Linked DNA regions of Ovis aries. The protein of the gene in region 1 purifies or fractionates together with the protein of each later gene. This does not show direct contact. Links are inferred from orthologs where the notes say so. Each region holds a gene or a part of one and is shown in the gene's direction. Other genes may lie near its edges.

The links.
Region 2: the proteins of INAVA (region 1) and CEP170 purify together in Homo sapiens (co-immunoprecipitation; 3 studies listed by BioGRID and IntAct, counting the BioPlex papers as one, with this or other methods). This does not show direct contact. The link is inferred for Ovis aries from reciprocal best matches to the Homo sapiens genes INAVA and CEP170.
Region 3: the proteins of INAVA (region 1) and CYTH2 purify together in Homo sapiens (co-immunoprecipitation; 3 studies listed by BioGRID and IntAct, counting the BioPlex papers as one, with this or other methods). This does not show direct contact. The link is inferred for Ovis aries from reciprocal best matches to the Homo sapiens genes INAVA and CYTH2.
Region 4: the proteins of INAVA (region 1) and SGF29 purify together in Homo sapiens (co-immunoprecipitation; 3 studies listed by BioGRID and IntAct, counting the BioPlex papers as one, with this or other methods). This does not show direct contact. The link is inferred for Ovis aries from reciprocal best matches to the Homo sapiens genes INAVA and SGF29.
Region 5: the proteins of INAVA (region 1) and CYTH3 purify together in Homo sapiens (co-immunoprecipitation; 3 studies listed by BioGRID and IntAct, counting the BioPlex papers as one, with this or other methods). This does not show direct contact. The link is inferred for Ovis aries from reciprocal best matches to the Homo sapiens genes INAVA and CYTH3.
Region 6: the proteins of INAVA (region 1) and CYTH1 purify together in Homo sapiens (co-immunoprecipitation; 3 studies listed by BioGRID and IntAct, counting the BioPlex papers as one, with this or other methods). This does not show direct contact. The link is inferred for Ovis aries from reciprocal best matches to the Homo sapiens genes INAVA and CYTH1.

The regions. Positions count from the first base shown.
Region 1 is NC_056065.1:78,908,776-78,912,275, forward strand, and holds part of INAVA (innate immunity activator protein), read left to right. Parts: intron 1-370; coding exon 371-498; intron 499-805; coding exon 806-922; intron 923-1,416; coding exon 1,417-1,651; intron 1,652-3,500. UniProt on the Homo sapiens protein: Expressed in peripheral macrophages and intestinal myeloid-derived cells, is required for optimal PRR (pattern recognition receptor)-induced signaling, cytokine secretion, and bacterial clearance.
Region 2 is NC_056065.1:33,235,539-33,239,038, forward strand, and holds part of CEP170 (centrosomal protein of 170 kDa), read left to right. Parts: intron 1-415; coding exon 416-1,059; intron 1,060-3,500.
Region 3 is NC_056067.1:54,896,523-54,900,510, forward strand, and holds the start of CYTH2 (cytohesin-2), read left to right. Parts: upstream 1-1,188; 5' UTR 1,189-1,313; coding exon 1,314-1,332; intron 1,333-2,147; coding exon 2,148-2,295; intron 2,296-2,393; coding exon 2,394-2,460; intron 2,461-3,474; coding exon 3,475-3,593; intron 3,594-3,988. UniProt on the Homo sapiens protein: Acts as a guanine-nucleotide exchange factor (GEF). Promotes guanine-nucleotide exchange on ARF1, ARF3 and ARF6. Activates ARF factors through replacement of GDP with GTP.
Region 4 is NC_056077.1:26,603,647-26,607,692, forward strand, and holds the start of SGF29 (SAGA-associated factor 29), read left to right. Parts: upstream 1-1,246; 5' UTR 1,247-1,425; exon of another isoform or gene 1,426-1,563; intron 1,564-3,573; 5' UTR 3,574-3,809; intron 3,810-4,046. UniProt on the Homo sapiens protein: Chromatin reader component of some histone acetyltransferase (HAT) SAGA-type complexes like the TFTC-HAT, ATAC or STAGA complexes.
Region 5 is NC_056077.1:38,609,240-38,613,291, reverse strand, and holds the start of CYTH3 (cytohesin-3), read left to right. Parts: upstream 1-1,252; 5' UTR 1,253-1,502; coding exon 1,503-1,593; intron 1,594-4,052. UniProt on the Homo sapiens protein: Promotes guanine-nucleotide exchange on ARF1 and ARF6. Promotes the activation of ARF factors through replacement of GDP with GTP. Plays a role in the epithelial polarization.
Region 6 is NC_056064.1:52,964,185-52,967,684, forward strand, and holds part of CYTH1 (cytohesin-1), read left to right. Parts: intron 1-1,447; coding exon 1,448-1,560; intron 1,561-2,324; coding exon 2,325-2,473; intron 2,474-2,851; coding exon 2,852-2,964; intron 2,965-3,500. UniProt on the Homo sapiens protein: Promotes guanine-nucleotide exchange on ARF1, ARF5 and ARF6. Promotes the activation of ARF factors through replacement of GDP with GTP.

The DNA.
Region 1 (3,500 bases):
TGGGGACTGGTCTGGATGGAGGACTAGAGACAAGAGGTGTGGGTGGTGTGTGTGCGTGCGTGTGACAGCGAGAGGGGGAGAAACAGAGAAAGCGGTCAGTGGCCGTGGATGGAGGGTGGGATGGGAAGGGTGAACCCTGACCGCGGCCGCACCGCACCAGGCTGGTGGGGCCGCCCGTCCTCTGAGCCGTCATGGGCCACTGGGTGGCGGGAGACGAGCCGGTTTGCAGCTGTGACACAGCACCGTGGCAGCCGGCCCGCAGTCTGGACAGGCCTGAGACTGTGAGCCCACGTGTGCATCACCGCCCGGGCTGGGGCGGGCAGGGAGGCAGCCAGGACCAGCCCCCCTGAGCACATGGCCCTGTCCCCAGCAGGCCCGGACAGCCCGGTGTCCCCCGGGAAGGAGCTGACCCACGCCGTGCGGAAGCAGCAGCGGGCCCTGGAGGAGCGGCTGGAAGCCTGCCTGGAGGAGCTGAGGAGGCTCTGCCTGCGGGAGGCGGTGAGGGCCGCTCGGCTGCGGGGTGGGGCTGAGAGTCAGGGGTCAGGCGCCGCCCACCACCGCTCTCCCTGGGGGGGCCGACAGTACCGCACGGGGGAGGAACCCAGGGCACCATGGCCCGGCCCGTGCAGAGGCCCGGCCCGTGCAGAGGCCTGGCCCCGGGGAGCAGGAGGGACAGCCCTAGATGCAGGGCGGGCGGAGGTGGCGGGGGCCGGGTGGGCATGGGCCATGCACGCCTGCTGGACGGTGCTCCGCCCAGGGCTGGGCCTGTGAGAGCCGCCTGGCGTGACCTCGTTCCCCCCTGCAGGAGCTGACTGGCATCCTGCCTGCGGAGTTTCCCCTCAAACCCGGGGAGAAGGCCCCCAAGGTCCGCCGCAGGATCGGAGCCGCTTATAAGCTGGACGAGTGGGCCCTGCACAGGGAGGTGAGTCTGCCGGCGCCGTCCTGGGTCCCGGAGGCGGACAGCCCTGTCCCCAGGCCACCGCCCCACCGCTCGAGGCCCTTGGCTCCCGGTGGACGAGGGGCCCCGCCCACGAGTCACCCACAGGGGCCTCAGGGAAGCCCTGCCTGGGCAGGAACTGGAAGGGCCCTGGCCTCAAGGGAGGACGCTCGGCCAGTCCCCCCAAGGGCCAAAGGGCAGCCGCCTGGACAGGCTGGTGGCTCGGCCCCCCGCCTGTCTTCCTCTTTCTCAGTCGGGTGGAGAGCCGTGGGGGTGGATCCTGCCCTCGGCCCCGCCCTGTGCTGTGAGGGGTTGCGGAGCCCCTGGGCTCGTCTGCCCTTCCGTTGGACCGTTGGACCGGAATGTGTCCACCTCGGCCCCCGCCCCCGCCCCCGCGGGGCTTGGCTCGAGGCTGCCGGTTGGGTCCCAGGGCGGGTGTGGAGGGGCTGCCTGGGATCGCTGATCGCGTCCTCCCCCAGGACCCCCTGAGCGGCCTGGAGCGCCAGCTGGCCCTGCAGCTGCAGATCGCTGAGGCGGCGCGGCGCCTGTGCCGCGAGGGGAACCTGGGCCGCCAGGTGCGCCGGCAGCGCCAGCACGCGGTGCGCCTGGAGGAGGAGAAGCTGCGGCAGCTGCAGCGCTGCCTGGGCGAGCGGCAGGGGCGTCCCGCACCCGGCCCGGCGCCGGGCCCAGGTGAGCCCCCGTCCCCGGGCCCAGGTGAGCCCCCAGTCCCCGGGGGGACAGCCCTCCGGGCCGCCCCCGACCTCAGCCGGCCCCACCCCCTTCCCCAGGACCACCCCTCTCCCCGAGACCCCTCCCCACTTAGAAAAGAGCACGCTCCTCCCTTCTGCTTCCTGCTTGAAGTACACCGCCTGGACAGGGGCCTGGCAGGCTGTCCGCTTGTCTCCAGGGCGTGTTCAGCCCTGCTGCCCCCAGCCCACGGCGTGGGTGGCGTGAGGCTCTGCTGCCTGCTGTGGGCGCTCCCGAGGTCCCGTTCTGAGCCTGTCTGTCCAGGGGACCGCTTCAGGGCCCGCGCCTCTGCTGGAAGTCCAGCCCCACCCGCCCACCCGCCATCCCCAAAGCGCTGCGGAATCTAGGCCCACCGGGTTGGGAGCGGCCCCTGCTCTCTAGTTACTGAGCCTCAGGCCAGTCCCCGAGCCCAGACCAGTCCTTGGACAGCAGTTGGTCCAGCCCAGCGCCTCTCCTGACGGGAGGTTCTGGGCCCTCAGCACGGCTCTCTCTTTCTCCTGACCCAAGCCCTGCTCGTCAGGTCGGCCCTTGGAGGCCTCCCTCCCGATCCATCCCTGGGGCCTCTAGCCCTGGGCGCCACTCCCCCAGGCCTCTCCTGGGCCCCAGGCCTGCTGAGAGCCGGTGGCTCTGCATGGACCTGGACTCCAGGCCTCACCAGGCTCCCCAGCCCCCACCCCCGCCCCTCAGGGTGGGCTTCCTGCCAGGGCACCTGCGGAGCCCGAAGTCTTGGTCTGTGTGCGGGCCCCACGGCGGTGCGGCAGGCACAGTCTCCATACCATCTCAGGATTCCCTGCCACCGCTCATCGCCTCTAATTCAGGGGGGAAAGGGTGGGCCAGACACCTTGCCGGTCCCCCACAGGCAGGAGTAGGGGGCAGGCGAGGAGGGGGGACCTCCATGTGCCGGCTGACCCTGTAGAGCCAGGAGACAGGGAGCTGGCAGGGCTGGACAGCGACCCCCAGGCAGACCGGTGCTGAGGGGAGAGGCCCCCAGCCCCTTCACTTCCCGACCGCACCCGGGACGCGGCCTCCCCTTGGAAGGCAGCAGCTGACCGGCGCTGGAGCCCTGAGGGCCCACTGGGCCGGTGGGGAGCGGCCGCGTCCCGTCTGTGTGTCTCAGCGCCTCCTGTATCCCTTCTGGGCTTGCTCCATCCCGGGGCCCTGACCACGGGCCTGCGGTGTGGGCAGGGAGCGGTGTGGGGTGTTGCTCCGCTGCCACCTTTGTGACGATGACGCTTCTTGTCGGGAGTGCAGAGCAGGCCAGGACACGCCTGGGGCTTTGGCCAGCCGGCCCGGGAGATGGAGGCAGGCACGCAATCCAGGGGGGACAGAGCTATGGGGAAGGGACCAGCGCAGCAGTGCTTTCACCCTCCTGATCAGAGAAACAGGCCTGCTCTCCGCACGCAGTCCTGTCCTGGCAAGGCCGAGGTCCTGGCTTCCAGCGTCCTCTCTTGGGAGCCCAGGAGGGGGTGGTTGGAGACAAGTAGTTCCTGCCCTGTGGCTCCTCTGCCCAGCCCGGCTCGCCCTGAAACAGGGAAGTAGAGAGGAGTTGATAATTAGTAGCTGAAAGGTGTGGAGAAGGCAATGGCACCCCACTCCAGTACTCTTGCCTGGAGAATCCCATGGACGGAGGAGCCTGGTGGGCTGCCGTCTAGGGGGTTGCACAGAGTCAGACACGACTGAAGTGACTTAGCAGCAGCAGCAGCTGAAAGGTGTTTTGAGTTAAACAGAGAAAAAGCAAACAGACTAACCAGAAAACTAACAGAAACCCACCCACCCTCTTGGTCATTCCACCAGCAACTGTGCCCGTGCCAGGCGA
Region 2 (3,500 bases), about 46 Mb from region 1:
GTGGGATCACACTTTTTTCTGTCTTTTCCCTTCTAATGCTAAAGATAAGTTTTTGATTGTTTAAATAAGGTATAAGGTTTAAAGGCAGGATTAATATTTAATGTTACAAATACAGACTATCATAGATGTAGCACTGCTTATCTTTTAAGGCACTGATGAACCATTATAAAGTCAAAATTTGGAGAAAGAAAAGTAATCCTATTCAAGTGTTTATAAAGGACTCATTGTTGGTTGATGAAATTTGAATGTAAGCATTGCAATTGAGGGAAGTTTGCAGAGCCTGTTACTGAAAAGAACATATGACTTTGGATTGAAAGGGGGGAGGGGCAGAACAAGCAGCACTTTTGTATATGCTTTGATTTTCTACATAGGATTTTTTCCCGTCTCTATTATGCGGTTTCTTTTCTGTGTCCAGGAAACAAACATGATGATGGTACACAAAGCGACTCAGAAAATGCTGGGGCTCACAGGCGCTGTAGCAAGCGTGCAACTCTTGAGGAACACTTAAGGCGCCACCATTCAGAACAGAAAAAACTACAGAAGGCCCAGGCTACTGAAAAGCATCAAGACCAAGCTGTTGTAAGTCAAACTGCTTTTATGATTGCATTCTTTGATGAAGACAATCCCAGAAAAAGAAGGTCATATTCTTTCACTCAGAGTACGGGAATCTTGTGTCAGGAAACTACTTATTCAGCACCACATACAAAACTTGAAAAAACAAAATCTCCAACAGCAGATGCCAAAGTGGTTTCTTTGTCTTTACAGACTAGCTCTGCGCACCACAGAGGGGGGCATGGTGTTCCACATGGGAAATTGTTAAAACAGAAATCAGAGGAGCCATCGGTGTCAATTCCCTTCCTACAAACTGCATTATTAAGAAGTTCAGGGAGTCTTGGGCACAGACCAAGCCAGGAGATGGATAAAATGTTAAAAAATCAAGCTACTTCCGCTGCTTCTGAAAAGGATAATGATGATGACCAAAGTGACAAGGGTACTTATACCATTGAGTTAGAGAATCCCAACAGTGAGGAAGTGGAAGCAAGAAAAATGATTGACAAGGTAAATAATTGGTATTAGTTTTCTCGTGGTATATTTAACTGTTGGAAATTATTAGAGGATATCAAATGTTTTCATGTAGGTAGTGTATTAAAACTTTAGGATTTTATTAGGGAACTGGAAACCTAACAATAAGACCAAAATGCTTTCTGATTTTGTTCTACTATATTCTGAATTTGCCTGAGTTTCATATGTAAAGTTCTATACATATAAGCTGTTTGGACCTGTTAAAGTTGTAATAATTTAAGTTTGACTTTTTAAATGCTACATCTTGACCATGCTCACTTTGCATTTAAAAACTAAAAATCAAAGAAAACCAGATTACTGTTGACTCCATTAATATAAACATGAGCTTCAGTTAAAAATAGTTAAACAGAGTTTTTATTTTTTTAATTTTATTTTTGAAGCAGATGAAAAGACATGTTTTAATCCATTTTATTCTTTCTCCTTAGTTTCTTCTCTTAATTTCTATTCACTGCTGTCTGTGGTGATAGAAAAGAAATGTATAAAAACAAAATCAGTGTGTTTATGATACTCTGAGTTTAAGCAAGGGTATACCTAGTTATGATAGTTATTTACATTACAGATTTTATTTTTGATGTTTTTGATTAATGTGTATAATGATTGTTATATGGTTTAAAAAGTAGTTTTGCCCCCAGTAATGAAAGATTGACTTTAGAATCTGCTGTATATTTTATCCCCTGGAAGACAGAAACATAAATTTGGCTAAGCATTAATCTCTTGTTTCGGTTCTTGTTACTTAGCATGTGAGCAGCATTAGCATCACTAGAGAGCCTGTTAGAAATACAAAATCTCCAGTCCACCTTAAATATAGTGAAAAGGAATCTGCCTTAAAAGTAGGGCTCATATGCAGATTAACATTTGAGATACACTAGTTCAGATGATGAGCTTAAACAGTGGTCTTTTAGAGAATAGACAAGGTAACCCTTTGGGAAGCAGGAGATTATTAGGACTTATATTTATTTTTAATTTCATAGTTTTTATTTCTGTTTAAGAGTGTGTTCTATAGTGTATACAGTGTGTGTATGTATATATATATAAAATTTCTAACATCCGTCAGTTGAGGAGCAAATGCTCAGAATTTTTCAGTGTTGGGGTATAGCACTCCAGACTTTCGGAAACCCATTAATTTAGGAAATAGATATTATGATAGTTGTTAATAAGAGAAGTAAATAAAAAAAAGAGAAGTTTTTAAAAATTAACAAACAGATAAAGTAATATTTCTAATAATAGTAAAGGAAAGCTAAGAACACAGTTGTAGCAATAGAAAATGACTCAGTCATTTCTAATTATTTTCATCACTGAATCAATAATGACATTACTTTCAGATTAAAGTTAGTATATTGCTATTTAAGATACTGTCAAGTAGAAAATAAAAGGATAGATTTTGGGGAAAAAAAGCTATTAAGTGTTAAAATTCAGATTAATTTTATTCTAGTGTAGTTTTGTTTGATTTATGTATATTTCATTTGTAGTTTATTGGTGTTTCTCTATTAAAAGATCTTTCAGTGGGAGATTATATTGTAATAGTTTAAAAACATGAACACTTGTAGACAGACAGATCTGTACTAGATGTACCAGATATAAGTACACTGAGTGAACACTAGATTGCAAAAAGAATTCAATAAAATATATGAGGCTTATTATTATAATGCTATCTTATGATAAAAGGTCTATAAATATTAGCTGTGTTATTAACCTTGTGAGTAGTTTCCATGTATGAATCTCTACACTAGGTTTTGATAAATCCTGAAAAGTTCTTCAGCATTGAAAAGGTCAAATCTGAAACTCAAATGGAAGTTAAAAGTGCAAGGAAATAGCCTGGCCACAACAACAGAAAGTCAAGAAGGAAGTCATTGTTGGCAGTTGAGACTCTTGAAAAGTAAACTGCTGGATGAAGAGAAGGACCATAAAACCTCGTGTATACCTGCTGTCCATAATAAGCATCCTTTTTTTCATTTTCAAAAAGAGTCCCAATTTCAGTGACAAATTATTTGGTCACACTATGGATAAAGAAAACCAAGAATCTAAACCAGGATTCATTTAAGGGAATAATGTCAGAATGTGACTGAGTAGATAATTCAGTCATTCTTAGTTTGTATAAACCAGAAAACAAAGCTAAGGCCATAACTGTAGGGAAAAACAGGAGTCACTACATTATGTTGTGAATGCCAAAGAAAAAGTGCTGAGATTCTACTGGCTGTGGTTAAAGCTAGAGGTCAGATTCAGGCTGACTAAAGTCAGGCTCTGGGGAAACAAATGTCTGAAGAAAATGAAGTAACCTGTGAGCATGAAGAAAACAAAGACCCCAAATAGTCAGAATCAGAGTGTAAGAAGGACTTTGGGCGGATGGGAGGAGATTCAGACATCATATCAAGTTGTTGGGTAAGCTTTGTCATCCGTTTTCTCCCTTTTAAAGTTGG
Region 3 (3,988 bases), on another chromosome or scaffold:
TGGCCTGGAATCTGTCCCTGCCTGCCGAACTCTGGGACGATGAGTGAGGCCCAGGCCCAGACACGACCCTCAGACCCAATTTGGGACCTGTCCGTGATGGGGGTGCCCAGTTTCTCCCTCCAAGCCAGGCCCCTGCACCTGTTTTGCCTTCAAGGAATGGAAATGAGAGGCGGGGGAGGGGAAATGGCCTCAGATGCCAGAGGAGTCGGAGAAGAGGGAGGAGTTTAAGAAGAGCAAGAGTATGAGAGGAGGGGGACGCGAAATGAGACAGAGAGGAGGGAAAGGGCTCGGAGAAGGGAGAAGGGATCAGAGGTGGAAGGATGCTGAGGAAAGGGGAACTGTCCTGGGCACGGAAAGGATGCTAACCTAAAGGAGGAGTTTGGGGGAGAGAGGGAGGAAACTGAGAGGCTTCGAGAGGCAGGAAGGCAGAGCCTGTCCTTTCACTGGATTTGGCCTTCCTCTATAGTCCCATTCTCCTCTACAGAGACCATAAAGCGCAGCATTTGGAAGAAAGTCTTTTTTTTCACCACTCCTTGACTCTGAAGAGGCTGAGGTGGATGGGGGAGGTCAAAGGAGGAGGGTAAGGAAAGGGTCTGCAGATCGGAGAGGCCAGTACATTTGAGAAAGGGGGCCAAAAGGAAAGTGAGCCAAAGCGGCTCCCGGTTGCTTGGCAACCACTGCGGTCAAAAGCCAGGCGGGCCAGCTAGGAGGTGTGGCTCAAGGAAACAGCAGGGAGCTGTGGCCCCGCCCCCTAGCAACAAGCCTAACAAAGTACCGCCCCCTAGCGACGTATTGCTATAGGCCCGGCTCGATTGACCTGGTATCCTATTGAGCAGAGCCCTTGCGCAGGCGTAGTCCTCCCTCTGCGTCTGCTTAGTCCCGCCTCCATGCATCTCCTTTTCGAGGCTTCTCATTGGAGGGGAAGCCTGCCAAGAACCCTTTGGTTTCGGAGGCGGGGCCCGGCCCCTGCTCTCACTCCAATTGGCCCCACAGACCGTCTACTTTGGGCTGAACGTTGCTACGCCTGCTCCTAGTGCGCCTATTGGCCCTGGAGGGCGATCCTTCGGTTTCGGAGGCGGAACAGAAGAGAGGGCACGCCGTGGATTGGGCGGTGTCAAAACGAGGGGCGGTCCCTACTGGCGGGGCGGTTGGGAGACGAAGGGAGAGTCTTTTCAGCGCTGAGGACTGGCGCTGAGGAGGCGGCGGTGGCTCCCGGGGCGTTTGAGCGGGCTCACCCGAGCCCGCGGGCCAACGCGGATCCGGGCCCGACCGGCGGGACCGCCCCGGACTCCCCGCGGGCCTTCCTAGCCGCCATGGAGGACGGTGTCTATGGTAAGTCGGGGAGGGGCGGGGCCGGCTGGGAGCAGATGGAGCGTTTCAGCCCGAACGTTCCGCCGCGAACGACCTCCCCCACCACGACGCGCGCCTTGAGAAGCTTGTTCGGCCCTGTTGTCGCCTCGCTTTTGTGGGGCGCGGGACGGGCTTCCGGCAGGGCAGGAGAGCGGGGCGTTCCAGGCCATTGTTTGGGCCGAGCCTGTTTCCGGTGGCAGCGGGAGGGGGTGGGATGGAGCGGCGGAGGCGAGGCTGAGGCGGAACCATTCCCTCTGGAGGGGCCGGGCGAGCCCAGTGCCTGCCGGGAGAGGGGAGGGGGGCTTCTGGGGACGGTGGGGTGGGGAGAAATCGTGTGGGCCAGAGATTCCGCTAGGGCCAGGGCGGGGGCCTTCGATGCCCCACCCCTTCCTTCACTCTCGCAAGCTGTCATTAGCTTCCCCTGCCATGGTTACTTTCCATGGACCCAGGAGTCCGGGCACCCAGGTCCCCAGCTACCTCGCCGAGAATGGAGGCAGAAAACCAAGGCCTCAGGCCCCTTGCAAGTAATGAACCGCAGTGTCAAGCTTCCAGGCCCCTTTCCCCTGTAAACCTTAGAGTAGAGGCTCCAAGCCCCCTTCTCTCCCAAGGACTAAGAGTCTAGATTCCCAGCCCTTCCTCCCCTGGACTGACCCCCAGCCCCTTCTTCCACTGACCGGAGGCGGGACTCTTATCCTCATCCTCCCCATGAACCTAGGAGCTCTGTCCTTCACCAGATTTCAGAAGTCCAGGCTCCCAGTCCCCAGAACTGATCTCCCACCCCTGATTCCCTCCCCCAGAACCCCCGGACCTGACTCCGGAGGAGCGGATGGAGCTGGAGAACATTCGACGGCGGAAGCAGGAGCTGCTGGTGGAGATCCAGCGCCTGCGGGAGGAGCTCAGCGAAGCCATGAGCGAGGTGGAGGGTCTGGAGGCCAATGAGGGCAGGTGAGGGCTAGGGCAGGGAGCCTAGGGGTCATGGGGCCAGGCGAGGGCCAAGGATGCCCAGGCATTGACCTTGCACCCTCTGCTCTCTGCCCCTGCAGCAAAACCTTGCAACGGAACCGGAAGATGGCAATGGGCAGGAAGAAGTTCAATATGGACCCCAAAAAGGTGCTTGGGGCCACAGGGCTGGGATCGGCCAAGCTGACATCCAGATAGGATTCTGGCATCTCCGGGTTCCAGAAGTGTGGTGGTTAAAGGTCTGTCTTAGGTGGACAGAATTGGTCCTGATCACTGGATCCAGATATTGGCAGTATTTGTTCCCTGAACACTAACCAAGTGCTTCAGCCTCCTGATCTTTGTGTATGCTGGAACTTCTACCTGAGTGGTCCTCCTCTCCTTTTTGCTCATATTTTAGGACCCATTTCTCTTGCCACTCTTGAGTCCCCAGGAGGAGCTTGATTGAGTCTGGTAGGGAATGTGGACAGAGAAGTGCCATGACAGAGAGAAAGAGAGGTACTGGACTGTGGACACAGAGGAGTGAGCCTGGTGGCATCAAGGAGGGCTTCCCTCAGGAGGACATTTGGGTCAGGCGAAGGATGACTGAGTGTTCACCCAGTGGAGAAAAGATGTTCGTTCATTCATTCATTCATTTTACACCATTTCCTCAGGCCTCCCTCTGGGCTGCGGCTCTGCTAGGTACTGCATAGGACCCAGTGTAGGGTTTGATGCTGCCTTGCCCTCAGGGAGCCCCTAGACGCAGATACTAAAATCCAGAGAGAGGGGTCCTCAGTTCATCGTCCTCAAGACATCAGGAGAGCCTGAGAAAGACCTCCAGCCTGAGCCCTCACAGCTCCTCATGAACTGATGTCTTCTAACAGTTTCCCACTTTATTCTTCTTGCCAGAAGCAGTGGTAGTTTGTAAAGTCATTCAGCAGACATTCATGAAGCTCCTGTTCTTGCCAGGTCCTGCTCCGGGGGGACTGGAATTCACCAGGCAAAGGCAGAGGCAGCAGTAGATGCAAAGTCTAGGCTGCGGGAGAGGCGGTGTTTAGGGGCCTGGGAAGAGCCTGAAAATGAAACTCAGGCCCCGCTCTGTTGAGAATGGGGGTGGGTTTGGAGGCTAAGGTTTCTAGGGGTGTCTTTCTGAGCATGCCAGCACTGAGACCCAGCCCTTCCCACCAGGGGATCCAGTTCCTGGTGGAGAATGAACTTTTGCAGAACACACCTGAGGAGATCGCCCGCTTCCTGTACAAGGGCGAGGGCCTGAACAAGACGGCCATTGGGGACTACCTGGGGGAGAGGTGAGAATCGCACTCCCTGCACCCAGCTCCTGCTGGGCATCTCCTCTCTGCCCCTTGCACCCAGCTTTTGTTGAGGAGAGGCCCTGATAGATGAGCCTTGCAACTGGACTGTGACAAAATGGACTGACACAGAGATTGGGGTGGGGGACCTTTTGAGGAACCTGGGGATCATCTGTGAGCATGTGGAGGGTATGGGACATTTGAGGACATCTGAGCAATGCGGGGACCATCACCCATTTATGTCAGGACAGTGGAGAACATTTGTGGGTGGTATGGGAGCGTGAGAACCATTGGAGACAGCTGGTGTGCATGGGAGCGACGTGGACAGTGATGCAGGAAGTGGGAGGGGTCAGTCAGTGGATATCTGGGGAGCATGAGGGGCCCATGGACATCTG
Region 4 (4,046 bases), on another chromosome or scaffold:
AGCTCCGGGAGTCGGTGATGGACAGGGAAGCCTGGTGTGCTGCAGTCCGTGGGGCTGCAAAGAGTTGGACACACTGAGCAACTGAACTGAACTGCCCCTTTCACCACTGGGTGCCAGCCCAGGGCTAAATACCCAAGGGGAGACCCTCCCCTCCGTCCCTACCTCCCACTCTCTCACCCCAGGGAAAGCCTGGGTCCAAGGGATTGCTGCCCAAGCATGTCTATAATCCTATTTCTATAGTAAAAACTATTTTAATTATTGAAAAAAAGGGGAGTGAGCAGTGGGGTTGCGTACCAAACTCTCCGTAGAGGTTATATCCTCAACTGGGATTCTGGAGAACTTTTACTTCCAGATGCTAGATCCCGGCAACATTTGACTTTTTCACAGTGTATGAGGAGCCTGGTGGGCAACAGTTCATAGCCTCCCAAAGTTACCTGTTTTAGAAGGAGGGGAGAAAAGGAAAATGTTAAGGGTCAGTTTAATTCATCCCTTTCCTTTACTCAATTCCATGCATACTATGCCACCTTCTGGTCAAGATATGGCTTTTTGTCTGTGTCAAGAAAAATCACCATTAAAAGTGAATACAATGGTTACAGTATCTCCCACCTCCTACCTCCCACCTCCCAAGGTGAAGAGAAAACTTTCTGTTTTGCTCAAATGGGTGAGGAGTGGGTGTGAACAGGGTCAAGCTGAGTGACTGTAGGGTTTTTTACACAGAAAGTGCCTGAAGCCCTCATGTAAAAAAGCCAGGTCTTAAGCAGGAGAAAGCAAAGAGGAGAGACAGATGAGAGCATGGCCTTCAGAAGTATAACTCTGTCAAGGGAGGAATTAGTAAAAGGATTAGTAAAAGGAAAGCACTCTGTGTAACTCTCTCCATGTGCCCTCAAGCGATCTTCAGTGAAGACTGCTGTGACTTTTCAAGGCTCTTTGGGAAAGCATTTCAGATGTGTTAGATGAAGGATAGACAAGGAAGCCCCAGATTCCTTTGCCACATTGTAGCTTTCTCAGAAGGGCTTCCCAGGTAGTTCAGTGGTAAACAATCTGCCTACCAATCCAAGTGCCCGCGGTTCAATCCTTGGGTGGGGAAGATCCCCTGGAGGAGGGCATGGCACACAAAGACCCTGGTTTGGTAAAATACGGTTCGGCCGAAAAGCCGGGAGCAGTGTGTCAAAGTGAAAACTACATTTCCCAAAGGGCAGCGCGGCACGTCACAGAGGATGACGGCGCATGCGTAGAGGGGTCCTCCGCGCTGCGACTAAGCTCATCAGAGGGAAAAAAGCTGTGTGGGTCTCGTCCTGCCGCGAATCTTCGAACGTAAAGGGCGTTGTCATCTGCAGACTCTGAAGAGCATTCGAGGGACCGCGCGCCTGCCCCCGCCGTCGCAGTTTCCAGCGCGACGTGCTTGTTCCACCCGTGGCTCTGTAGGTAGGTATGGATCGCGGTCTGGGACAACCCCCTTCCGCCGCACACCCCCGCCTGCAGGATGGCGGGAGTGGAGGGCCGGTGGTCTCCATGCCCCGGCCTCGCTGAGGCTGCTCTTGAGGGGCGGCGCGCATGCGCCTTGGCGGAGAAAGGCGGGGCGCCGGGAAGGAGGGCTGGTGTATCGTCTGCGCGTGCGCCTGCCTGCCCTGCGCGGGTGGGAAGCCGCCGCATGTGGAGCTTGGCGCAGTGGCCCGGGGAGGCTGGGTACCCAGGCCAGGTGCTAGAAGACAAAGGCAGAGGATGGGCCCCGAACCTTGATAGCATTTGTTATTTGCTCACAATGTGCCCATCTTAACCGAATGACCTCATTCTTCATTCGTATTTCTCTTGGCGCCTTGTTTCTCTGCCCTTGTTTGCAGCCAAAATTTCGGTCTGTACTCACTAGCACTTTTTCTCCTCCGAACCCACTCCAGTCGGGCCTGGGCCCCCACCCTTCCACTGAAATAGCGCCTTGTCAAAGCCACCAGTCATCTCTAGGTCACCAAATTCAGTGTTTAGTTCTCAGACCTGTAGCAGTATTTGATGCAGTTGCAGGAGGAGAAGGGGACGACAGAGGATGAGATGGCTGGATGGCATCACTGACTCGATGGACGTGAATCTGAGTGAACTCTGGGAGTTGGTGATGGACAGGGAGGCCTGGCGTGCTGCGATTCATGGGGTCGCAAAGAGTCGGACACGACTGAGCGGCTGAACTGAACTGAACTGATCTCTTTTTGCTATGGAATGTGCTGAAGTGTGACAAAACTTGGAAGGAAGAGTATAGATTTTATAGTTTGCAGGCTTGCAGTGGCAGCTCAACTACTTGTATTTCCTGAGTTACCTAGCATAACTTCATCCAACTGAACTAAAGCTTCCCCAGCTGTAAAGAAGGTGGGCTTGTAGCATTGATGTAGGCTTAAATGAGAGTCACCTATGTAAGCTTCAGTACCAAAGCCTGGTAGGTATTGGGTTGGGGTGCAGGGTGGGATAGGTGGAAATCATCAGGTCTCCTTAATTTTAAAAAGGAACCGAATTGAGGGACTTCCCTGGTGGTCCAGTGGTTAAGAATCTGCCTTGCAATGCAGAGGACTCAGTGTTTGATCCCTAGTCAGGGAGCTATGAACCCACGTGGCGTGCGGCAGTTAGGCCCAAGCACCACAACTACTGAGCCCATAGCCACAACCAGAGAGTCCATGGGTCCCACATGATGCAACGAAGATGCTGTGTGCTGCAGCTAAATGAATGAATAAATAAATATTTTCTAACAAAACTAATGTAGATTCTTACTGATGTGGCTAAATGGAGGGTATGGGATCTGAATGTAGTCTTGGATGCCTTGCTTCTCTTTGACTTATGACAAAGCTTTTATTGTCCTAAGTCCTATGTGATTATTTTTAGAGTGGTTTAAGTATAGACTATTTTCATTTGTATGAGAGGGTCAGACAGCAGTTTTAGGCTGTATGTATAGCAGTTACTATGTGCTTTTCCTCACAGCCTTGGTCCCTATGAATTACCTCTTTTTTAGTTAAACTTCTTAGTTGCATGTAACAAAAAGGTAGCCCAAACTAGCCTAAGCAGAAAGGGAGTATCTATTGACTCTAACTAGCCTAAGCAGAAAAGGAGTATCTGTTGACTCTAACTAGAGTCCCAGGTGTACCAGCTCCAGGTATGGCTGTATCCAGAAGCCTTGGTTATGTCACCAGTATTTTCTGTGTCTTTTCAGCTCTGCTTTCCTCCATGTTGATTTCTCCCTCAGGCAGGCAAAAATCTCCATCAGTTCCAGGCTTCTATGCTACTCTTTTAGCCAACAGAAAGAGGTCTTTTTTTTTTTTTTTTTTTGTAGATCGCTTTAGCAAGAGATTTGAAATTGATGTTGGCCAGATTTGGGTCACATATGGTGGCTCAGAGGTTAAAGCGTCTGCCTGCAATGTGGGAGACCTGGGTTCGATCCCTGGGTCAGGAAGATTCCCCTGGAGAAGGAAATGGCAACCCACTCCAGTATTCTTGCCTGGAGAATCCCATGGATGGAGGAGCCTGGTGGGCTACAGTCCACAGGGTCGCAAAGAGTCAGACACGACTGAGTGACTTCACTTTCACTTTCATCTCTTCCAGAACCAGTTGTGCTGGACAGGAAGACTAATACTTCCGTGGAGCCAGGTGGTGTACCCAGCCTTGGAGCCAAGATGAAGGATGGTTTCCCAAAGGGAAATTAGAGTACTGTTACAAGACCTAAATGTTTACTTAGGAAAAAGGAACAGATTTCTTTAAAAAGATTCACATGTGACTGCTCTTAGCAGTTTTATTCATAATGGCCCAAAACAGACATAGATGCTGTTCAGAGAAAACAGGTTAGATAAACTGGTTTGTTCATACAATTGATGCAACTCAGCTATAGAAAGGAACAGACTCCTAATACACACAGCAACACAGATGAGTCTCAAAACACATTAAGTAAAAGAAACCAGACACTAAAGTATACAGATGGCATGATTATATTTCTGTGAAGTTCTGGAAAAGGCATAACTGGTCTGTAGTAGAACGTAGCAGAACAGTGGTTCCCCTTGTGGGTAGAAGTAGAAAGTCAG
Region 5 (4,052 bases), on another chromosome or scaffold:
CTTCAAGTGGAGTTTGTGGTCCTCTGAGAATTCTATGAAGGAGGAAATGGGTTGACCTATTTGGTTGCTATGAAGTAAAAACAATCTTGTTTTCATTTTTTTTTTTTTTTTCAGAGAACATCTGGATTGCATTTATTTTACATTCTGGAAGTTCTTTAAAACCACAATTTGATAATGTGAGGCTTCATTAAAGCAGTCACTATTTAGCTGTTTGTCTAGTTGATTTAGTGCTAGGGTGGCCGCATAGGCTTTTGAAAGTATTTAAAAAATTTTTGCTTTCTGTAACATGTAACTTTTAAATAACAACCCTTGATTTTAAACTAGAAAACAGGACCTAGACATTTTGGGGCAGCAGGGGAAGGGCAGGTCAACTGGGTTGTTTCTCTGCTGCCCACCGCGTGCAGGCTGGCCGTCTGTAGGGCAGAGTTGGAGTCTGTAGCAGCCCATTTCGCTCCGTATCCCAAGTAAATCCTCCCTTTCTTCCTTGCTTAACAACCCTGATTTGCTTAAGCCGTCTAAACCGGTAAAGGTAATCCCGTTTTCCTTACTGAAGGAAGGATATAGAAGCCAAGTTCAGCATGAGCTGTGAGGGGCAGTTGGCAGGGGGACTTTTGGGGAGACTGTTTTCCTTCTTGGAGGAATACTCAAGGAGGAAACAGTTCCTCCTCTTGCTGTGGCCTTTGTCGGGCCCGGGTGGTGGCCAACCTGTATTCACGGTACCCCTCAAATCTGTTCAGTTCCAGGCCCTCAGGCTGAGGATGGTCTGCCGGGCTCTCGGTGGAGTTGCTGGGACACAGGAGGGCCCTCTCCCCTCCCGTCTCCACGTGTCCCGTCTCCACGTGTCCCGTCTCGTGGGACTGTAAATACCTACCTTGTTTTGGGCTGTGGAGAGGTGGCGGAGCCAGGGGCCGAAAGGTCGCCTGATGCTGGCTGGAGCAGCAGGCAAGTTTCATTCTCTTATTTATCAAGAGTAAGGATCTTGTCTTGGCCACTGAGGGCCCAGGGGAAACATCTCTCTCCCATGCGTGTTCGCTGGGTATATATATTTATCCCTTTAAGAACTGGGCTAGGTTATACTTTCTTTCTGAGATGAACACTTTTCTCCTACATTGAATAAAACAAAATCTATTTTCACATGCTCGTAAATCCATTAACAGTTTCGTTTGGCACATCCTTATGACTACATTTATTTTAACACAGAAGGATTTTTTTTTAAACACAGCAGTCAGAAGCGGCAGGCATCGGCCATTTAATATTCTGTTAGAAGACAGGACTTCCTTTGAGCTCTTCAGAGAGGAAATAAAGCGATCAAGAATGTCCTTTTCCAAGTTGCAGTAATTAGATTAAAATTTTTTTGAATTGAGACAGGCAGATGAGTTCATTTCTGTGTGTGTTAGAGTATGGGAAAACAGGAGGATTTCAGTGACTTTTCAATGTTTGGCCTGTTCACACGATGAGGCTGTATTTCCCGAGTGTGGGAGGACAAGTGGCCACAGACTTTGATGCAGTGTGTGATGCACTCAGAGGGCGAGAACCGTCTTGAGAATAAAATGATGCCTTTCATCGCCTGCGTAACAGGAATATTAATGTCGGGTGAGTGTTCTTCTGAAACATTGCCTGTCCCCAGGAATCACAGAGTGTCTGCCGTGGGCTCCCCCAAGATGCGCCGTTTCTGGAGCTTGAGCCTTTTCATTGAAAATCGAGATTAAGCTCTGTGCCCGTCAGATGGTTACTGTGATGTTTTTGACACAAAGTCACATGCCTTCTTCCCTCCTTCCTCAGGTCAGACTGGTCCTGAGGGGCTCTGAATCTTGCTCACAAGAACATTCCTGCCAGCGGGGCAGCCCGAGGGAGCGCGTGCGGGTCCCACGCCCATCTGGCAGCCCCCGTGGTGGTTCTGCCTCCCAGATGCCCGGTTCTTTGGCCGGACGTGCAGAACATAATTATTATTACTATTTTTTAATCTGGAAAGAACATAAGCCAAGATGCTTCCCAGGGGGCTCTGCTTCTGTCAGCGCTGAGGTGCTTGGCTTCAGGATTTCAGTCTCTGGGCCCTGCGGGGACCTCCCTTCTGCACCCCGCCCCCGGGGGGGGGGGCGCATCTGAGGCCGGTGCCACGGCTTCTGCACAGAGCAGGCTCGCCCGCGTGCAGCGCTGAGAAAGCCCCTCAGAAGTGCTCTGGCTGCTTCTCCATTCGAAATTCTGTCTCCCTTTTCTGTTGGTGAAAATTTGTGCGCGTGTGTCAGTCGCTCAGTCGTGTCCGACTCCGAAGCCCCACGGACTGTAGCCTTCCAGGCTCCTCTGTCCATGGCGTTCTCCAGGCAGGAGTACTGGAGTGGGGTGCCATTCTCTTTTCCAGGGGTTTGAAAATTTGGGGGTAGGGTAAAAAGCATTGCACCCTTGAGAGGAAAGTCTGCTTCACCTAGTCCTTCCAGCGCCCGATCTGCGGCAGGCCTGCCCGGGAGCCCTGAGTCAGGGGTGCGCCCTGGCCCACTGCCCTCCGGGTGGGTGGTTGCTGGCCGCAGCTGTGTCCCTTCGGAGAGGGAACGCCCAGAAGCTTCTCTAATCTCATGAGCTTGGCTTGGGCAGTTTTTTCTTGGTTTTAGCAATCAAACAGATTGGCGACTGGGAATTTCAGGAACAGATTTGACAGGAGAACCATTTCCTTAATTAAAAGAGCTGTAAGTTGACAGCCAGGGCCCGTCCAGCGTCCACTAGAGATGAAAGACCAAGCTCGGGTGGTAAAAGCTAACCTGATCACCTTCCCCAAGTGCTGGAGAGGATTCTGTTAGTATAAACCCTTCATTTTGAGGCTGTTTTTGCTTGTTTTATTGAAGCTCTTGTTCCCTAGTGTCCCTACACTACCCCACCCCTCATCCATCATCCATCCAGAGACCATTACTCTTATCCATTTATTGGAACCAGGGTGCTGTGGCGGGTGGCCTTCCTTGTCCTTGGCCATGCTTCCTCCTGGCCGGCTGTGTTGGGATGAACCATGCAACCGCGCTCCTGCACTGATAACCTCAGTCCCAGGGGATTGGAGAGGCCCCCTTCTCCCTTGTGAAATCTGGGCATTAAGAGTCCAGGGTTTGCCCATTTGCTCCATCAGGTCAGCCACTGAAAGATGTTTCTGACAGTTTCCCCGGTTTAAGGCAGAAGATAGTCAACCGTGGCATCAGTGGTTTGTTCTGAGAATCTGAGTCTAGTAGGGAGGTTTGTTTAAACATTTGAACCGGTTATTTGCTGTTGACATTTTTAAGCAAATATCTGCAGCTGTGGTACCTCCCGCCTTGAGGCTTTGTGCCAATTACTTAATCTCCTTAAGTCTCAGTCTTCTCATATGTAAAATGGACATGAAAAAGCCCATGTGAAATTATGTCCTGAAAAATTAATCACAAATCCCAATCAGTAGGCATTTAAAGCCATTAGTCAGCAGAGAGGCCCGCCCCTTGCCCCCATTTACGTTCACAGCAGAGCAGAGGGGCGGATCCTGTGGGTTTGGGCTTAGGAATAATCGGTGATTGGCAGTACACTTATTGTTTCTTTTCTCTCTCAAGTTGCTATTTTAAAAACCTTTGAGTCTGCAGAAAAGTTGAAATAGTGTTGTCAGTATCCATGTATGTTACCCTCATTGCTAGCATTTGCCACGTTTGCCTTATCTTTTAACACTGTTAATACTCCTTTTTTTTTTTTTTTGGCTAACCCATCTGAAAGGAAGTTATGTATAATGTGACACTTTATTCCTGAATACTCAACAGCATTCATCTCCCGAGGACAGCCTCCTACTTAACCACAACCGTTGCCACACTTAAGGGCCCAGCGGTAAGTCCGCACCATGCTTTCACATGCCAGTCGAATCCTGCTCTCCCCAGTTTGCTCCCACGTCGCCTTTTATAGCTATTTTTCTTACCCATCCAGGTTCCCGTCAGGGTTTACACTTTATATTTAGTTCTGTCTCCTCAGTCTTAAAAACAAACAAACAACTTTTTGTTTTTTACAATGACTTTTTAAGAGTCCAGGCTGGTTGCCTAATACCGTTATTTGTATCCTGC
Region 6 (3,500 bases), on another chromosome or scaffold:
CAGCTCTTTGCATCAGGTGGCCAAAGTATTGGAGTTTCAGCTTCAACATCAGTCCTTCCAATGAACATCCAGGACTGATCTCCTTAAGATGGACTGGTTGGATCTCCTTGCCATCCAAGGGACTCTCAAGAGTCTTCTCCAACACCACACTTCAAAAGAATCAATTCTTCGGCGCTCAGCTTTCTTTATAGTCCAACTCTCACATCCATACATGACCACTGGAAAAACCATAGCCTTGACTAGACAGACCTTTGTTGACAAAATAATGTCTCTGCTTTTTAATATGCTGCCTAGGTTGGTCATAACTTTCCTTCCAAGGAGTAAGCATCTTTTAATTTCATGGCTACAATCACCATCTGCTTTTGGAGCCCCAAAAAATAAAGTCAGCCACTGTTTCCACTGTTTCCTCATCTATTTGCCATGAAGTGATGGGACCGGATGCCATGATCTTAGTTTTCTGAATGTTGAGCTTTAAGCCAACTTTTTCACTCTCCTCTTTCACTTTCCTCAAGAGGCTCTTTAGTTCTTCTCTACTTTCTGCCATAAGGGTGGTGTCATCTGCATATCTGAGGTTATTGATATTTCTCCCGGCAATCTTGATTCCAGCTTGTGCTTCCTCCAGCCCAGCGTTTCACTCATGATATACTCTTCATATAAGTTAAATAAGCAGGGTGACAATATACAGCCTTGATGTACTCCTTTTCCTATTTGGAACCAGTCTGTTGTTCCATGTCCAGTTCTAACTGTTGCTTCCTGACCTGGTTAAAGGGGGTTAAATTGAAAGCAAAATTTGTAAAACTCTTCCTCAGATCTTTCAGTTAACGTTTGGAAATTGATGAATATTTCCACTTTGAATATTTCCCAATTTCACTCAAGAAAATCGTTTAAATTTCTTGCCCTGGAACAGGAAATAGGTAGTGTGCCCTTCATTTTAGAAGGAAAAAAGTCAACATCTAATTTTTTTTTGCTAAATCTAGTTCCCTTGTGCTTTTTGAGAAATTGTAATTTGGTATTTTCATTGCTGTTTAACAGTAAATAATATCATGTTTTGTGTTGTTGTTTAGGTAGGTGAAAAAAAATCCAGAATTAAACCTGTTGGCTGCGGGTTTCTGTTTGACTTAAAGGGCTTAGTCATGACTGCTTTGATAGAAAATCTCTTTTCCTGCTATGTCTTTTTTTTTTTTCTTTCTGGAAATTGGAGTTCTTTTAATTGGAGTTCTTATGTATCAGTCTGACGAGGTGAACCATTCTTTTGAATAGGAAAATCTTTTTCTTTCTTTTTCTTTTCATAAATACATTCCCTTCTATCGAGAAGACAGAGATGTGGAGTGGTTAGCCTGCATCTGACAGAAGGCTGAAGCCCCCGACATCTCCCTTGGCTGCAGAAAGCTCTCACACACAGGGTGTCCCCCCCCAGTGCCGTAACACACCCTGTCTTCACCCGCAGGCAGTTCCTATGGAGCTTCCGGCTGCCGGGAGAGGCCCAGAAGATCGACCGGATGATGGAGGCGTTTGCCCAGCGCTACTGTCAGTGCAACCATGGGGTGTTCCAGTCCACAGGTGCGCGCGCGTCCCCTCCCGGGGCTGGCAGCGCCTGCCCGGCGCTCTGCTAGGCACTGGGCCATCCCAAAACCAGAGGGGTTGGGTTCCTGCCTAAGAACATCACTTTAAATGGTGTTTGTAATGGTAAAAAGTTGGAAACTGTCCACGTCTGCCAGTAAGGTAGTAGGCGTCTAAGTAAGGGCACCTCTGAATTATGAAGTGTACAGCTATTAAAAATTATGTTTTTATAAAGAGGCTTTATTGACATGGAAAAATGCTAATAAGATTGGCCAAAAAGCAGACCTCAAAACTGTGTATCTGTTGTAATTCTGACATGTTACAGTATGTATCTCTGAGGTTCATATTTTTAAAAAATTTATCTATTTTTTAATTGAAAGATAATCACTTTACAAAATTTGGCTGTTTTCTGTCAAACCTCTGAGGTACATTTTGTGATACATTACACATAGTCACATTTGTGTAAGAAAGCAAAATAAGTTATTCCTAGGTAGTGGGATTATAGGTAGTTTATATGTTCTTTTTCATATATTGTGCTTTTCTGTACATGTTCTTCTTACACAGTCTGAAAAAAATAAAACCCTTTTAAGTCGTGAATGCTTTACATTCTTTCTCATGCCTTGCCCTTTGCAGTTAGAGTGTACCCAGATGCGTGGATTTTGCTTACTCTTTTGAGAGCACTGCTTTGCATTCTCAGTCTCACCTGGTGCTTTTTGTTCTTTCTGGTGGGATGTTTCTGACTGGATTTTGTTTTTCCCTTTTAGACACTTGTTACGTCCTCTCATTTGCCATTATCATGTTGAACACCAGCCTGCATAACCCCAATGTCAAAGATAAGCCCACCGTGGAGAGGTTCATAGCCATGAATCGAGGCATCAACGATGGGGGAGACCTGCCCGAGGAGCTGCTCCGGGTGAGCTCAGCTCTCCTTCAAGGCCATGGGCTCAGGCGATGCTGATGGACGTGGGGTTAATCCAGTGTCTGCTCGGACCATCCACTCAGCTACATAAATTGCATTAAGAAACTAGTAGCGAGGCCCAGCGAGGAATCAGTTGGGGAGAGTGATCTGTGACTCTGAGACCTAAGGCTCAAGTGGAGGTCAGGCTGCTCTCGCATCTCTCTTGCTCCCTGGCTAGGCCTCTGTCTCTTTTGTCTCTGGGCACTGAAGGCAGAGGGGTTCTGGTGCCACCAGTGCACAGCACGCAGTGGTGCTTGTTGCACGAGTGACGGAAAAGGCGGGGGGAGAGGTCTTTCTAGGATCGGAGACATGCAGCGTCATCTTTTCTTCCAGAATCTGTATGAGAGCATAAAAAATGAACCCTTTAAAATCCCCGAAGATGATGGGAATGACCTCACCCACACTTTTTTCAACCCAGACCGAGAAGGCTGGCTATTGAAGCTCGGTAAGTGATGCCCTCTGGGTCAGGGCTCCTTACAGACGCTTAGAAAGGACGTGTGTGTGCACACCCGGGCATGCACTATGGGGAAAGGGGGTTTGGTACAGGAGGCTCTAAGAAGAGACTTTGGTATGAGTTCCTACTGTTCTAACAGAATTGCCTCCCAGAAGACAGTGAAGGCATGGCCAGCGCCCCACGGGACACACAGACTCCTGGGGACAGACTTGCCCACATAAATATTGCCCACGGGTATTTGCGCTCCACGTTTCCTCTCTGGGGTGGATTGAGGAGGGTTCGTTTTCAAGGCGGTTCCCCGAGGACCTCGTCCTTTTCCCTCCCCAGCCCCCCTGACCACTGGGAGGGTGGCCAGCTGTGCCCATCTCTCTACTTCCCATCACAAGTTTGTGCCCAGTGCTCCCGCCTCCCCCACCCCCAGTGCATCATCACCTCCTTCTGCATCTGGCTCCCCACAGGCAGCATGCATGGCAAACCCAGGGCCCTGGCTGCAGCGCAATCCACGGCACTCTTACTCATTCTTGGGCG